Linked DNA regions of Oreochromis niloticus. Each later gene encodes a partner of the first gene's protein in a complex. Links are inferred from orthologs where the notes say so. Each region holds a gene or a part of one and is shown in the gene's direction. Other genes may lie near its edges.

The links.
Region 2: kat14 (region 1) and mbip share a complex: the UniProt entries of both Homo sapiens proteins name them as parts of the ADA2A-containing complex. The link is inferred for Oreochromis niloticus from reciprocal best matches to the Homo sapiens genes KAT14 and MBIP.

The regions. Positions count from the first base shown.
Region 1 is NC_031971.2:41,838,744-41,846,007, forward strand, and holds the start of kat14 (cysteine-rich protein 2-binding protein), read left to right. Parts: upstream 1-4,223; 5' UTR 4,224-4,257; coding exon 4,258-4,516; intron 4,517-5,384; coding exon 5,385-5,506; intron 5,507-5,587; coding exon 5,588-5,709; intron 5,710-5,792; coding exon 5,793-5,965; intron 5,966-6,042; coding exon 6,043-6,477; intron 6,478-6,561; coding exon 6,562-7,151; intron 7,152-7,257; coding exon 7,258-7,264. Other genes in the region: protein PET117 homolog, mitochondrial, read left to right, coding at 2,975-3,070, 3,973-4,122. UniProt on the Homo sapiens protein: Component of the ATAC complex, a complex with histone acetyltransferase activity on histones H3 and H4. May function as a scaffold for the ATAC complex to promote ATAC complex stability. Has also weak histone acetyltransferase activity toward histone H4.
Region 2 is NC_031983.2:18,731,604-18,739,445, reverse strand, and holds the start of mbip (MAP3K12-binding inhibitory protein 1), read left to right. Parts: upstream 1-4,759; 5' UTR 4,760-4,812; coding exon 4,813-4,932; intron 4,933-5,776; coding exon 5,777-5,893; intron 5,894-6,076; coding exon 6,077-6,283; intron 6,284-6,824; coding exon 6,825-6,921; intron 6,922-7,268; coding exon 7,269-7,334; intron 7,335-7,467; coding exon 7,468-7,626; intron 7,627-7,842. UniProt on the Homo sapiens protein: Inhibits the MAP3K12 activity to induce the activation of the JNK/SAPK pathway. Component of the ATAC complex, a complex with histone acetyltransferase activity on histones H3 and H4.

The DNA.
Region 1 (7,264 bases):
ACAAACCATCACAGACTACAAGCCCACTCTGCAGACCGTGGGGAACAAATCCCCAGACAGTGTGTGGAGATCCCTTGCCAAAATCAGTACACGCAAAGCTCCAGGTCCTGATAACATCCTTGGATGAGCACTGACGGACTATGCTGTGGAACTCACAAATGTTTTCACAGACATCTTTAACACATCACTAGGGTCAGGCCGCCGTTCCCACATGCCTCAAAGCCTCCACCATCATTACTGTGCCCAAGAAGTCATCTACCTCCTGCTTTAAGGACTACCGTCCTGTCAAACTCACCTCCATCATTATGAAGTGCTTTGAATGGTTAGTCATGCATCAAATCAAATTATTGCTTTCCCCCAACCTGGATCCATTTGAGTTCGCATACCGGTCAAAACGCTCAACCGATGACGGAATTTCAACTGCCCCTTACTCAGCCCTCACACATCTGAACACTAGAGACTCGTATGTCAGAGTGCTGTTCATAGACTTCAGTTCAGCCTTCAGCATCATCATTCCCCAGCAACTCATTCACAAACCGGATCTGCTGGGGATCAGCACCTTGCTGTATAACTGGCTGCCAGATTTCTTGACAGGAAGACAGCAGATAGTACGCTCGACAGCAACACCTCCAGCCCAAGAACACTGAATACGGGGGCTCCCCAAGGATGTGTGTTGAGCCCCCTTCTCTTCACTCTGCTGACCCACGATGAGATCTACTACAGGGGTGAAGTTAACCATCTGGCAGAGTGGTACAGCAACAACAACCTGTCCCTGAATGTGGAGAAGACCAACAGCGACTCTACTTCCTCTGCAAACTGAGAAGCACAAGAGATTCAACCCCCATTATGAGCACCTTCTACAGAGGCACAGTTGAGAGTATCCTCACCAGCTGCATCACTGTGTGGTATGACTCCTGCACTGGGTTCTGCAGGAAAAAATAACAACGGGTAGTGAGACCAGCTGCACCTGCCTCATCTGGAAGGTCCTCTCCATTACAGGTGACTCCACTCATCCCTTCAGCAGCGTCTTCAGTTTACTCACGAAGGATACTGAAGAGCCTCCGGGCCAGAACACACAGGCTGAGAGACAGCTTCGTCCATCGGGCTGTCAGGATGCTGACCATCTCTGAATCGAGAAGGGGGGCCCAAGGGTACATCTTTCGCCATCCTACAATGCTGTGATTGTAGCCATTCCCCACTTTCTGTGAATGGTACTCATGGCCATTGATCAGTAGGCTTTGATTAGTTGTCATTGATCAATGGTCATAAGAATTTGCATACTAACAATCATGGAACTAACCCCCCAGCACATTGTTCATGTTTACCTTTTCATTAATATCTTTAAAACAGAAGCAGCACAAATGACAATTTTAGCAGCACAAACCAGCACAAACGTTTGATACCACTTTTGTTGGATTCCATTAATGTGGGGGGGCTGGTTGTACTTTGATGACCTGTAGAAATTTTTATTAATATCTTTAAAATGATAGCAGCACAAACGAAAATGTTTGCAGCACAAACGTAGCACAAACGTTTGGTACCACTTTTGTTGGATTTGAAGAAGGTGGGGGGGCCAACTTCACTCACATACCTAAACGTAAATGTGAAGTTTAGATTTTACTCCATCTCCTCCTCTCCTAGCCTCCACCTCCAAACCTTCAGTTTCACTCCTGCTGCTCTCCTGTCATACTCGTCTCCACCCGCTCCATCCTGCCTCACCTCTCTGTCGATGACGTCTTCTACAGCTGAGGGGTAAAAACTATAATACCTGTGGTGAGCATGCTCAGAGCTGACTGGCCCGACTGATCGGCCAATCAGGCGTGAGAAGATCTGAGCTGAATTCAGTTGTTTCACAGGTGGAGGTGTGAGTGGACATTAATCAACAGCCGATGGTTGGTGCTCCACCTCAGAGGTGGAATAAACTGCCATTTCCACTCCAAAGACTCACATAATGACAGTCGAGTCAATGATTCTCAGGACCGTCTCAAAGGTCACTACCTCACTAAGTGTCACGTACCTGGGACTCACTCTGAGCTGGATGCAAGGCAGGAGGAGGACGTGGCGATGTTAGCTAAAGGTGGCCTCAGGTGTGACAGCTCAGGTTCTAAGTGCCCGGCATGGTCATGTTACCACTTTCACAGCTTTTGACTCAGGCACGGCGGAGGAGGAGGAGCTGTTCAAAGAGCATGCTCCCTCCATGTTTGCATGTTCCAGCTGTGACCACGCCCCTTTTATACAGTTTATATGTAGTTCAGGACCGCAGCTTTAGCAGGCTCAGCTCCGTGATCACGGTTCCCTCACAGCGCTGCAGTTCACGCCCACGACATCCGGCCTCACACCGTTAAGGAGAAAGAGTGTGAGGTCGTTCCACTTCTCTTCTCTTTTCCTAAGTCCTCAGCAGGAAGTGAGGAAAGGAGACAGGAGATACTTCACAACACACTAACACACCCTGCGAGTGTGATGCAGGGAGGACAGGTGAGGTCCTGGTTTTCACCTTAACCTCCTAAGACCCGAACTCTTCCACGACATGCATTTTTAATTTCTCTTTGATATTTGGGCATATTGGGGCCCAATGAATGTAAAAACAAAGAATTTCCAGATTTTTTTTTTTACCTTATTTTTGTTTTTAAGAAAAATGAGAGCCACAAATGAGGATATTCATTTAAAATTTTGATAGAACAGTAGCAGTATAATGTCCTTGTAAGTGGATATCAGGCCCATGTAGAGCAAAATTGAGTATTTTGGTCAAAATAACCAAAAATGTGATGTCCACATATGTGGACGGCAGGTCCTAGGAGGTTAAGAAGAAACAAACGAACATTTTTGGCCTTTTTGGCCTTTGATTCTTTGACGCGAGTCTGCGTGTGTGTCACACTCCGGCCGGTGGGGGCGGTGCAGCTCCGATGAGCGTAGAAGAAGAAGAAGAAGACCTTAGCCGCCGCTAGCCACTGTTAGCCGGAGCTGAGACAGCGTGATGTCCGCGGTCTCTAAGGTGGTCCTGGGAGTGTCCGTGGTTCTGACCGTGAGCACCGTGGCCGCGGTGCACCTCAAACAGGCCTGGGACAGAGAGGTAAGCCGAGCCGGGCTGACATCTAGCCTCCGTGTGCCGGAGCGGGTCACGGGGGCTAACGAGGCTAACGCTAAAGCACAGGTGGTGGTTAAACGCAATTGAACGGACACAGGTGACGTCACACAGACGTTAAAAGAATAATAATAAATAAACACGATAATGACGATAAACAGCAGCCAAAAACCGCTTCCTCCAACACTTTTCAAAATAAAAGACTCAGATGGCTGGTAAACAATGATAATCATCGTCATTCCTTACATTTATGGCTCAGTTAGCTAATCAGGCGTTATCTGAGTTAACGTTAGCTCAGGTGAGTGCAGAACATGTGACTGACAGAGCTGCAGTGGCGTCAGATGTTTCATTTCGGATTCTGTGACGCTTACAGGTCTGCCTTTATTTTGGAGGTGCGTTTTCTCTCGGGTGACCTCTGTGAGGTCACGAGTCCTGCTGTTAAATAAAACAAAGAAACAGAAAATCACACACCTGGGTTTAAGGTGTTCACATCATGGGAACAAAGCTTCGGGCACCTCACCTGTGACATCTGTTTCAGTAATCAGTGATCAATAATAATCACTTTCTCCAGCGCCTTACAAGAAACACAAGAACGCTTTGCAACACAAGTCAAAAAGGTCAAAGGTGTAAGTTTGTGTGGCAGAGGTGAGTTTTCAGTCCAGCTGTGAAGCTCATATGGGAGAGACTCCACACCAAAGCATCGAGCCCTCATAGGTGTGGATTCTGTTACAAGGGACCGAAAGCAGACCTGACTGTGTACAGGTGCTGAGGGGCGGAGCACTGAGGGATTAATGAGTGAGAAGCAGGATCTGTAAGTGAACCAGTGGAGATGAGCTCACATGTCCTCAGAGCTTGATCAATGATGAGTGGTCACTGTGTTTGTCGTGCAGCGCCTGCGTGAGGGCGTGGTCAGGGATCTGGAACGGCTCGAGCGCAGGAAGGAGAACCTGCGGCTGCTGGAGGAGCAGCGGCTGCTGACCCGACAGCTGGCGGAGGAGAGACGAAACCGGGAGGCCAGGCTTCACCCACAGGACACCTGAAAAAGGTAAATGCTCTCATGCACCTACCCTATTGCATCCCCAAGTCTCCTTACGACCAGGTCAACTGTAATGTTTCTTCTCTTGTGTAGACTGCAGTGGTCACCTGCCCAGGTGTGCCGTACCTGAAGCAGGAGGATGGACAGCAGTGGCGAGCAGCTGGTGGGTGGGGAGGACGAGGCGGCCTGCACGTCAGCGTCGGACGGTCTGGAAGAGGGGGAGGTGGAGGGCGAGACGCTGCTGATTGTTGAGTCGGAGGACCAGGGCTCCGTGGACCTGTCACATGACCAGAGTGGCGACTCCCTGACCAGTGACGTGGGTGAGGACGCCGACGGGGGCTGGGCCTGCGAGGACATGTCCTTCTACTGCGACCGCTGCCACAAGTGGATCCCCGCAGGTGAGCTGGCCAATTGCAGCGCTCCGTTTCTGACGTGACCGACCTTCTCCAGTAGGTGGCACTACCTGCTGCCGAGCAATCTGAAAATGTGACATCAGCAGACCGCATGCCACCGATTGGCTGGTCAGGTGCACCAGTCTGTGAGTCATGAGAGCGAGTCTTTCGGGAAAATTGAAACCTGCGGCCCACGAGTCTGACAAAATGCCACGGACCGAGCAGGAGGAATGCCATCGCCTCCTTTGTTCTCGTTCATGTCACACACAAGTGACGTCACAGGATGCTCGGCCACGTTGCTATAACAACCCAACGCAATCAAGTCTGTGGGTTCCCGGCGACACCACAGTTGTAGCTACGCGGTAGGACAATACGCTGAGAGCGAAATGGCGGGAACAAAAGTGATCCAGACGCTCCCACCGCGTGCCGACCGGTCCGTCTCACGTTGCACTCATTAAAGCTGTCACGTGAATCAACAGTCGTACCCGCTGAACTCTAAAGCGAGATCTGCACCTCTGTGCGCGGCAGCTTCCTCCACATGGCCCCACCTTCAGGTACGAGCTCCTCCTTGAGTGTGCGTGAACGCCCTTTAGCCCGGCTCCAGAACACGGCGTGAGCATGCTCTCAGTTAAGTGTCACATGATGCGATGGATGATCACATGATATGAGCCTTAATGTGACCTCTGACCGTGATGTAAGCAGGTATGAGAGTTAAGGTGAGGTCTGATGTGGTGTGGGTGGAGCCAGACAGGAAGCTGTTAGTCCAGCTCCTCGTCTGCAGCTTCATGAGTTGAGAGCAGGCACTGGTGGTAACCTAGGAGACCCCCAGCAGGTCTGCAGCAGCAGCTGACTCTGTACCTGTGATCGTCTGCAGCTCAGCTCCGCGGCGAGCAGCCGAGCTACCTGAAGGGAGACAACTTCTTCAAATTCGTCTGCTCCGATTGCTCCGAAGATGGCAAGGAGAGCTTCGAGAGGATGAGGCTCACCTGGCAGCAGGTAGGACTTTAGCCCCGCCCACACACACAGACACACACCTCAAATACTCGGCGTGCTGACGGCAGCTTCTTCCTGTGGCAGGTGGTGATGTTGGCCATGTACAACCTGTCTCTGGAGGGGACGGGCCGGCAGGGCTACTTCAGGTGGAAAGAGGACATCTGCGCTTTCATTGGTCGACACTGGAACTTCCTGCTGGGCTCGAGGTCGATCGCAGACAGACAATAAAGTTTTGGTCTTTATCGATAACGTGCCGGCGCTCACATTCGTGTTGCACTCTTCTTTGCAGGAAGAAGACATCAACCTGGTGGAGCACGGTAGCGGGCTGCCTGTCGGTCGGAAGCCCCGCCTTCTTCCGCTCTGGAGCGCAGGAGTTCGGTGAGCCCGGCTGGTGGAAGCTGGTCCACAACCGACCTCCAACCCTCCGACCAGAAGTGGACAAATCCGTGACAAAGACTAAAGGTAAGCCGTGATCGAACGCTGGCGCCCAAGTGGACGGTGTTTGTTGACCTCTGACCTTGGACGCTGTTTACCCACAGCGTCCAAACCCGTGCTGGACCCGATCATCACCGTGGAGGGTCTGCGCAAACGCGGGGCGCGGAACCCCGTGGAGAACGCCATGCAGCTGAAGGAGAAACGCTCACGCACTCAGGAGGCCAAAGATATCCGGCGGGCCCAGAAGGAAGCGGCGGGCGGATACACGGACCGTAGCGCCGCCTCCACGCCCGTCAAGCTGGGTGGAGGCCGTGGTGTGGGTGGTGGGCAGCGCCCAGATCTGGTCCTGGAGAAGGGTGAGGTCATTGACTTCTCTTCGCTCAGCTCCTCAGACAGAACGCCGCTCACCAGCCCGACGCCATCGCCTTCACCTGACTTTTCTGCCCCGGGAACGCCAGCCTCGCATTCGGCGACGCCCAGCCTGCTGTCGGAGGCAGACCTTATCCCTGACGCCATGCCGCCACAGGCATTGTTCCACGGTGAGGTACCACCTGATTGGTGCAGGGTCATGTGGTTTTATGTGATGTAACCGCTGATGGCGCGTTCTGCTTCCTCCAACTCAGATGATGAGGAGATGGAAACAGAGGGGATGATCGACCCGGGAACCGAGTACATCCCGCCTGCCAGTGCCAACCTGGGCACCCGCAAGAAACTCCGCCCGCCACCGCCTCACATCAAGCGTGAAGCAGAGAGCGAGGAAGACGAAGGCCGCGAGCGGGAGGGCGACTTTGAAGAACCCGTAGGACAAAGTGAAGACGCCCCGGTGTCCACAGGCGGCGGTGGCGGAGGACCTGAGCGCAGAAGGACGACTCATCCAGAGAACACTGACAGCGCTGCCGGCAACGCCCAGAGTCCTCGCTATGCCACCCTCAGTCTGTACGAGGAGAGGATGCTGCTGCGACGGCTGGACGCTTGCCCGCTCGCGTTGGCCGTCACGCCGCAGGCTAAACGCCTCCACAGGAAGTTGCTGGTTCGCCAGGCAAAACGACAGAGGAGGCTCCCCCTGCTGGACATCGACCAAGTGGTCAGCGCCACCCTCAGCCTGGTGGGAGGAATCTATGGCGCCCAGGAGGCCGGATCACAGATCGGCGGCGGTGTGAAAGGGAAATACTGTACCAGCAGCCAGGAGCTGCGGATTCTCGATCGCTTCCAGGTAACGCACACACTTCCTGTCCGTCCATGTGACACGCCCACGTGCACCAATCGCTGCAGCTGATGCAGTGTTCACACTGTTCGCTTCACCTGTCCATGTTTTACAGACCGGCG
Region 2 (7,842 bases), on another chromosome or scaffold:
GCTTCCAAGTAAAGATGTTTTTCCAGTTCCCTTGCCTAGTGTGTGCTGCAAGGTACTGTTTTGGGTCCTTTTCTTTTTTACTCATATTTAGTGTCTTTTCAGCATATTTTAAGATTTCTTATCACTCTACGCAGATGACATCTTGTTATATATCTGTTTTAAGCTTCAAGCTGTTTCTAAGTTAAATAGTTGCCTAGTTGCTTAGATTTTATTATCCGCTGGATGGCTGAAAAATTTCCAGGAGAAAATAAAAGTCCTTTTTTGTGCCCTGAACACATTTCCAATGGAAATTGTAGTTACACTTGCTACATTTGCCAAATTGTCTATAGAACACTTTGATTCAACTGTAACTTTGCTCATGTTAAATATCTGATTCACACTTGCTTTTATCACTTAAGAAATATTGCCAAGCTGAGTCATATTCTCATTTACTCATGTCTTTATTTGATCACATCTGGATTGTTGTAATTCATTGTTCACGTGTCTTAACAAAACCTCCTTAGAACATCTGCAGGTGGTTCAGATCGCTGCCACGACACTTTTGACTAAGTCTTCCAAGTCACTCGCTTCCCACCTCTCACTGTTGCTAATTTAGTTCCACTAGCTCCTAATTAACTTGAGAGTCCGCTTTAAGATTTTGTTTTTGACTTTTAGAGCCCTGCATTATTGAGCACCAGTGCACATCAGTGAGCCTTTACATGCATACATCCCCTGCAGATCCCTGGGGTCATGTGATCAGGAGCTGTGCAGCACACGAGACAAAAAAATAAAAAATAAGGAGACAGAGTTTTCATGACAGTGCTTTCAAGCTCCCTTTGAGCTCGAGATCTGCTGACTACATGTTTTTATGTTTTATTATTTTCATTGTGAAGCATTTTGTGATATTTATCTTGAAAGGTGCTATACAAATAAAAACTTTGAATTTACTAATTTACTATTTTTGTTGCCAGTTAAGTAATGGTAATTGACTTACATCCTAAACTATGTTGCTAATCATAAACTTAAACCCGATAAACATGGTACTATTGTCAATAATTGATACTGTATCACCAGCCCGAACGTGTTGGTATCACACAACTCAAGGTCCTGGGGTGAGTGGGAATAGAGGCAGGGAACATCCTCGGCAGGTCACCACTCCATCACAGGGTTCAGCAGAGAGACAGACAACCACACGCTCTTACATCCACACCAATTAACAAGTACAGCTTTGGATGGTGGGAGGACTCCTAAGCACCTAAAAGCACAGTCTAATGACTAGTTGTCTAGTGTAAAAAATAAAAAAATGTATTTGTGTTAAAAAAAAAGTGTTTCTATCAACTGAATAGTTTTATTCTCCAAAATATAATAGCTTTATTTCTTTGTATAAGCCATCACATATAAAAGTCCATCTAATTATATATGTATAAATGCTTGTATATAGATATAGATTTACAACAGTTTATGAACTAGTAGGAGCCCAAATAAACCTTTTTCTGGGACAACAGCCTTAGTATAGGGAGACAAGCGAGGATGTGTGGCAGTGTAACAAGGAGAAACAACAGCAAATAGAAAGAGAACTGCAGTTGATGGGTCTGCCAAACAAAGCAGTTCTTCCACTGTTACACTTCATAGGGAGGATTAGGAGTTCAGTGGGAATCTGTGGCCAAGTGGACAAAAGTGACAGCCCAGTGATTTCCACTATATGAGTGGATATAGAAGACAACAGTACATAAACATTTTACCCTTACAGTTCATGCACATGTAAATACTGCTTATTTTTGCATGCATCATTCCAAAAGTGTTGTAAGAAATGTGCCAAAGCAGTTCAGAAAAAATCTGTAAAAAACAACTGAAATAACTCTCAAATCCAGCACCATGACTACAGTCTTTTTAATGAACATTTTTCTGCAAAATTTACATTTGTTTCCACATATATCTTTTTATTACTTAAAAGCAGTACGTAATGAGCTGATCTGTGGGAAGCTTGGTCCCAAACTCACAAGAAAGGAATACTTTTAATTATTCCTCTCTGGGGGAAATGAGACAAAACCTTCTTACTGCAATCCACTTCGCTCTTTACATTGTGCTGCCTCTTTCTCCTGATCCTCATGTCTGGCCTTTACTCCGTCTCATGCTCTGTCAACATAATCTGCCACCGTGCAGCAGACAGGCTCAAAAGCGGACCTTTTTACTTTCCTGCAGGTGGCTGATGTGACTGAGGCAAGAGGCAGCAACAATCCCTCTTCACTCACTTCCCTCTAACACTAGGACCACCTTATTTCCTGTATAGCACAAATTCCCTCTGCCTGCCAAGAACACATTCTTGTAAAGCAAAGAAAAAAAAATCTTATTAAGTTGCACAAAGAACCATTAAGGTATCCTTGTAACACTTTTCAGCAATTCTCTATAATGGCTTCAGCATTTACAAGCAGTGCATAAATACTTAATAAATGGTTATAAATTGTCATTTTATGTTAGGAATCTACAATTAATATGATTTAATAACAGCAAGAAAAACCAGAGGTCAAATCATTCTCTGGAAACAAGTTAGCGCATTTAAATCAGTTTGCCGTACCTTACTTTCAGCCAATTAGATAAATAAAGTACCACTTATGTTGATGCATCAGTAATAATGACCCTGCCAACAATGACTAAGGCCGTTGTGCATGAACTTTTACTTGTAAAGGAATATTTTTAGGCTGTAGCACTTGTAAATATTTCTTCAGCCACTGGTTTTTTAATCCTCTAAAACTGTTTTTAAGATGTAGGAACATATTAGAGGAAAAGGTGACATTTAAAGATTGTGAATATCTGTAATACTTAGTTTTGGTTTCGAAATGTAAATATAGCTAAATGTAAAAACATTGCGCTCAAGTAGGTTATCATGTTTTTTTAATGGCTCATATAAATGCCTTAAATCACAACTCTTCCCCCGTTAGAAGAATAAACAGCTCTTTGGTCTGAAGCCAGCCAAATTAAATGAGCAGTTTTTTAATTTCTGAGCGCCTTGCTGTGTGGGAACATTCAGCAATAGCTCAGCATGTCAAACCATGTCAAGTGTTACAGTTCCTTCCTGTTTTGGGGGGAAAAATATCACCCCAGAGATGAATTAAAGTAAAAAGGCTTGTCTTCAGACCCCTTCCTAAAATGATTAACCCTCCTAAAGAGCATTATTGAGTTCTGAGTGGTTGTGCCTTCTCTTTGCCTGTAATTGTTCTTTTTCTGTTGTTTCCTTCATCAGTCTCTCTCCTCATTATATGAAAAGAAGGGAAAAATGTCTGAATAGAGGAGGGAGATTTTCCCACAGTCACTCAACACAGAAAAATACGCCATTGTAACCAGGTTCCCATCCCAATGCCCTGCTGCACAGTCCACTGCGGTCAGAGGGACAATATCTTTATAATTGAGTGACCATTCTTTCGCCTGTTTGAAAAGTAAGTGACTGAGAATACAGTTAACGGCACATTTGAGTGAGTTCAGTTTCCAGGGAGCCATGCCTAATACATACATACATATATATATATATATATAAAATTTTATATAGTACAATGTTTTAAACTAAAAGTAATAAAATTGTGGATCATATAAATATACAAGCATTGACATTCTAAACATAAAGTAAAAATTAAATTAGAACAATATTCAGCAGTTATGCTGCTAAACAGATAAACATGCCATAAGACGACAGAGAATAAAATGACTTTAAACATGCTTTAAAAGGCATTAAAAGAGAAAGTTCAGAGACTGGACATCTTTGGGCATTTAATAATATGTTCCAGACGTGGCACTACTTACAGGCTTGTTTTCAGGTAGAGAATACAAGTCATAAAATTATTTTGTTAATATTAAAATAATATTTCATTGTTCGTAGAACTGTCTACCAGTGTATGACGTTAAAACATTAGCTTAATAACTTGACTAGAGGCAATAATAAAATGTTGCTTGACTGCTAATAGATTACTGTATAAAACCACAGGGTCACTAATGCATGAAGAGGGCTATTATAGTTGATGATAGTCATTAATAAGCATATTTGGTTTGGATTTTATGGGAACAGATTGAAGAGAAGTAGAAATAGTTGGGTAAAAGATGAAATGTGCATGATATGTTTGGAAATAAAGCTGTAAAACAGGTTTTTCAAAGTTTTATATAATCAGTTTTTCTATATATAGATGCTCTTAACCACCCTGTGTCGAAGAACAGTTGAAAGATTTTTAAATTTCACATTTTATAACTTTATTTGTTTTTTGTGCTTCTCTATTTGGGTTCTTTTTCGATTTGCTAACATGGAGTCTGATCATATCAAGTATCAAGTATCTAATATCTATATCTACAGAAAACTTATATATACTTATATATATCTATATATATATATATATATATCTATATATATATATATCTATATATCTATATATATATATATATATATATATATATATATATATATATATATATATATATATGAGCTTTCTGTTCCCCTGACGTCCTGTTATATTTTTAGAATGTATTTGTAATTGCAGTTTTTAAAAAGTTGATCCTTGACTTTAAAAATTATGTAAACAATTTTCCTTTCAATCTGTTAAAAGACTGAAAAAGAGAAATGCCTTAAAGCTTTCAGAAATACTTGCACAATACAACCCAGTAAAATTAGTGAATTTAATTTAAGCATTTATCATTACTAGTAATTTTCGCAGTAATATTAATATTCTCACAACTACGGTTGTGTGCGTGTACGCATGCGTGTATGGAGCCTCGACTTCGTTAAGCGCGCACACGCAGGAACCTGCACTCGAACCAATCAGCGCACAGTATTCTTCGGCTTGTCGAACAGCAATGGCGGAGGCAATGAAGCTAAGTAGAAATCATGCTCCTCCCAGTGACTCCAGTAAAATGTCCAGCTATACAGACTGTATGGATTCGTTACTGCAACTGCTAGCAGACTTCGGGGAAGAGGTTTGTTTGGATTGTTTAAGCTGCCTTGTTTCGGACATCGCTCCTTTCAGTCCGGGGTGTTGGCTGGCTGCATGCTAATGTTTTTAGCAATGTGGTGTTAGCAGGGCTGCTTAGCGGACCCACACTGTTCATTCATTGTCACTCACACAGCGCTCTGGTGCTGTTTTTGACAAGCAGGTTGTTGCAAAGTAACTGTGCTTTAAATGGTTCAGTGTTGTTTTGAAAGTAATTTAAGATATAAGATCGAGCTTGTGTCTTGACTGGGCTTAACTAGGCATTCTGTTTCATCAGTAACAGCAAAGTTTCATGTCATTATCCCTGTTGCCGTGCTTTTTTTTTGCATCTCGTATTGGATTGAATACACATCTAAATAAACCTCTTTATCCCATACATGCAGTAAATGATCTCAAGCCCTGTTTTTGTGTGGTAAAGCACAAATAAAATATGCAGTGGATAAAATAAAAGCATCGCCTTTCACTCGCTTTATGAATCTAACTTCATTATTTTCCTAAGTCTGGGGTAACCTTATTTTTAATTATGTATTTATTGACCACCACTGCAAAGCCAATATATATATTTTACAGTGACAAAAAACAGCTGAAAACAAGGGGAAAATAATCCTTTATTCTACATTAAATTGAAGCTGATACCACCAAATGCTTTTTCTTGAACAGTAACAAATCAGTTGCCCAGTTAATTATCAAAAATAATTTATGTATTTTCACATCAATCAATTGTAACTTGCATATATTAGACAAATGTATATATTGTCCTGCTAGCATGCAATTGTATGTTAAATGCTGATTCACAGTAACATCCACACTTTGTCTGTCCTGAAATTAAGCTGAAATTTGGGGATGCTGCTTTGAAAATAGATGTCAACCCCAGCGCTGTGAATCTTCAATCATCTCCACCTGCTCATGTTTACAGCTCATTACAAGGACATATCGCTAAATTACAGGTAAAAACATTAGAGGAATTTTAAGAGCTGACATAGATTATTATGCAGCTTTTTATTGTGTTATCATTGCAAGGGAAAAAAAGTAGATTAGAATTAACAATTTAAAATTTTGAATTTTCGATTATTCTTGGGAGCTTTAAATAATTACATCTAATTCTTCTTTCTGACGTGCTCTTTATTTAGGCTGTTTCAGAAAGCCTAAAGGTGTTGTTGGATGCTGAGGCTGATGCATCCTCTTTCAAGAACACATCAGAAGATGCTGTCACCTCATCTTCAAGCAGCGCACAGACAGCCACGCAGTCTGAGCACCATCCGCACAGCTCCGGGGCTACAGAGAGCAAGGCGGCGGCTGATGACGTCATGGTTCAGATCCGAGCTGGGAAGTCAGAGGTTGGTCGCTGTCAGCAGATCTGTCAGCTGTTCTGGCAGTGAAATTTTAGAGCCCTCTTTACACTCTGTCAAGCAAATGAATAATCATAAGTAATTGCTCCAGAGGATGTGCACATGACGTGCCGCAGCAAAGCAAATGCTTGATGGAGACCTGATAAGCTGAGTTCGGTTGAGAATAAGGGGTCCTTTAGTGCTGCGGTGGGGTAGAACAGACCACATTGCTGGAGGGTTTTGAGAGAGGGCCAGGTCCTTGATGGATTATGAAGTGGATGCTCATTACTCTGAGATTGCATGTGGATGAAGGACAAGAGGCCCCATTCTGTTGTGCATTTATTTTGGTAGCCAAGCAAACAGTATTCATATTCCATCATGTGATGATGGCAAGCAGTTCAACTTTTTTGGCTACCTGGAATTTTCTGAAATGTAAATTGCCGCACCCTATTTGTCCCACATCATTATCATTAAATAGTCAAAAACATAGCATTCTTGCCACCTCATCAATCCATTGTATCTTATTATGTTGTCTTCATTGTAACCCTAGATTGAGCGAAGAATATCTGCATTTATGGAACGCAAGCAGATGGAGATCAATGAAAACAATGTACGCGAGTTTTGCAACGTGATCGACTGCAATCAGGGTGAGAATGGGAGAGAGGTGGGGGGGCAGGGTGGAGAGGGTGCCTGCACACAGATTGCCAATGTTTGGGAGAGAGCTGATTTCCACAGGCGAGAGGTCAGGCTGAACTGCTCCAAGAGTGGGGCTGAAGTAGCTAACACACTCGGCCTCAAAACACAACCCGCTTAGTCCAGAAAAACACGAGACAGAAGAACCTTTTTTAAATTCAAAGCCTGTGTGAGACACCAGTAACAGAAATCAGGAGTAGTTGTTATTCAGGTGTGATATACATATACAGCTTTTGGTAATCATGTTTAATTGCATTTGGTAATTCTAATTGCAATTTATATTAAATGTGATCGTCTGTAGAAAACAGCTGTGCCAGAACAGATGCAGTATTCACTCCTTACCCGGGTTTTAAAAGCCACGTAAAAGGTAAGAAAATGTCACAATTCTTAACAGCTTAATTTTTAAACTATCATTTGTGTAATTAAACTAAAACATGTTGTTAACTAGAATCTGTTTAGGACTGAGTTGTATCTTCTGTGTTTGTTTCTTGGCTGGGCAGTCACACGAGTAGTAAACACTTACGGACCCCAGACCCGTAGTGGGGGAGACCAAGCAGAGGCTGGGGATAAACAGAGGGGGCCGCTGATGAGAGATTGTGGAAATGTAGCCATAGAGGAACGACTCAACAACATCGAGGCTCACCTCAAACTTCCAGCAGGTGAGAGACAGGAAGTTATTGTAAGGCTCAAATTATTTTTGTCTTGTATATAACATTATACATTATATTTAACTGAGAAATTAAATGATACCTTTTATTGGCACTGAATTTTTTACTTATAGTAAGCCTTTATTTATACAGTGATCTATTATTTGGTTTATCTGCTGTTATCAGTCATTCTTTGTTTGCTCCCACAAGTCTTGTGCAATAATAAAT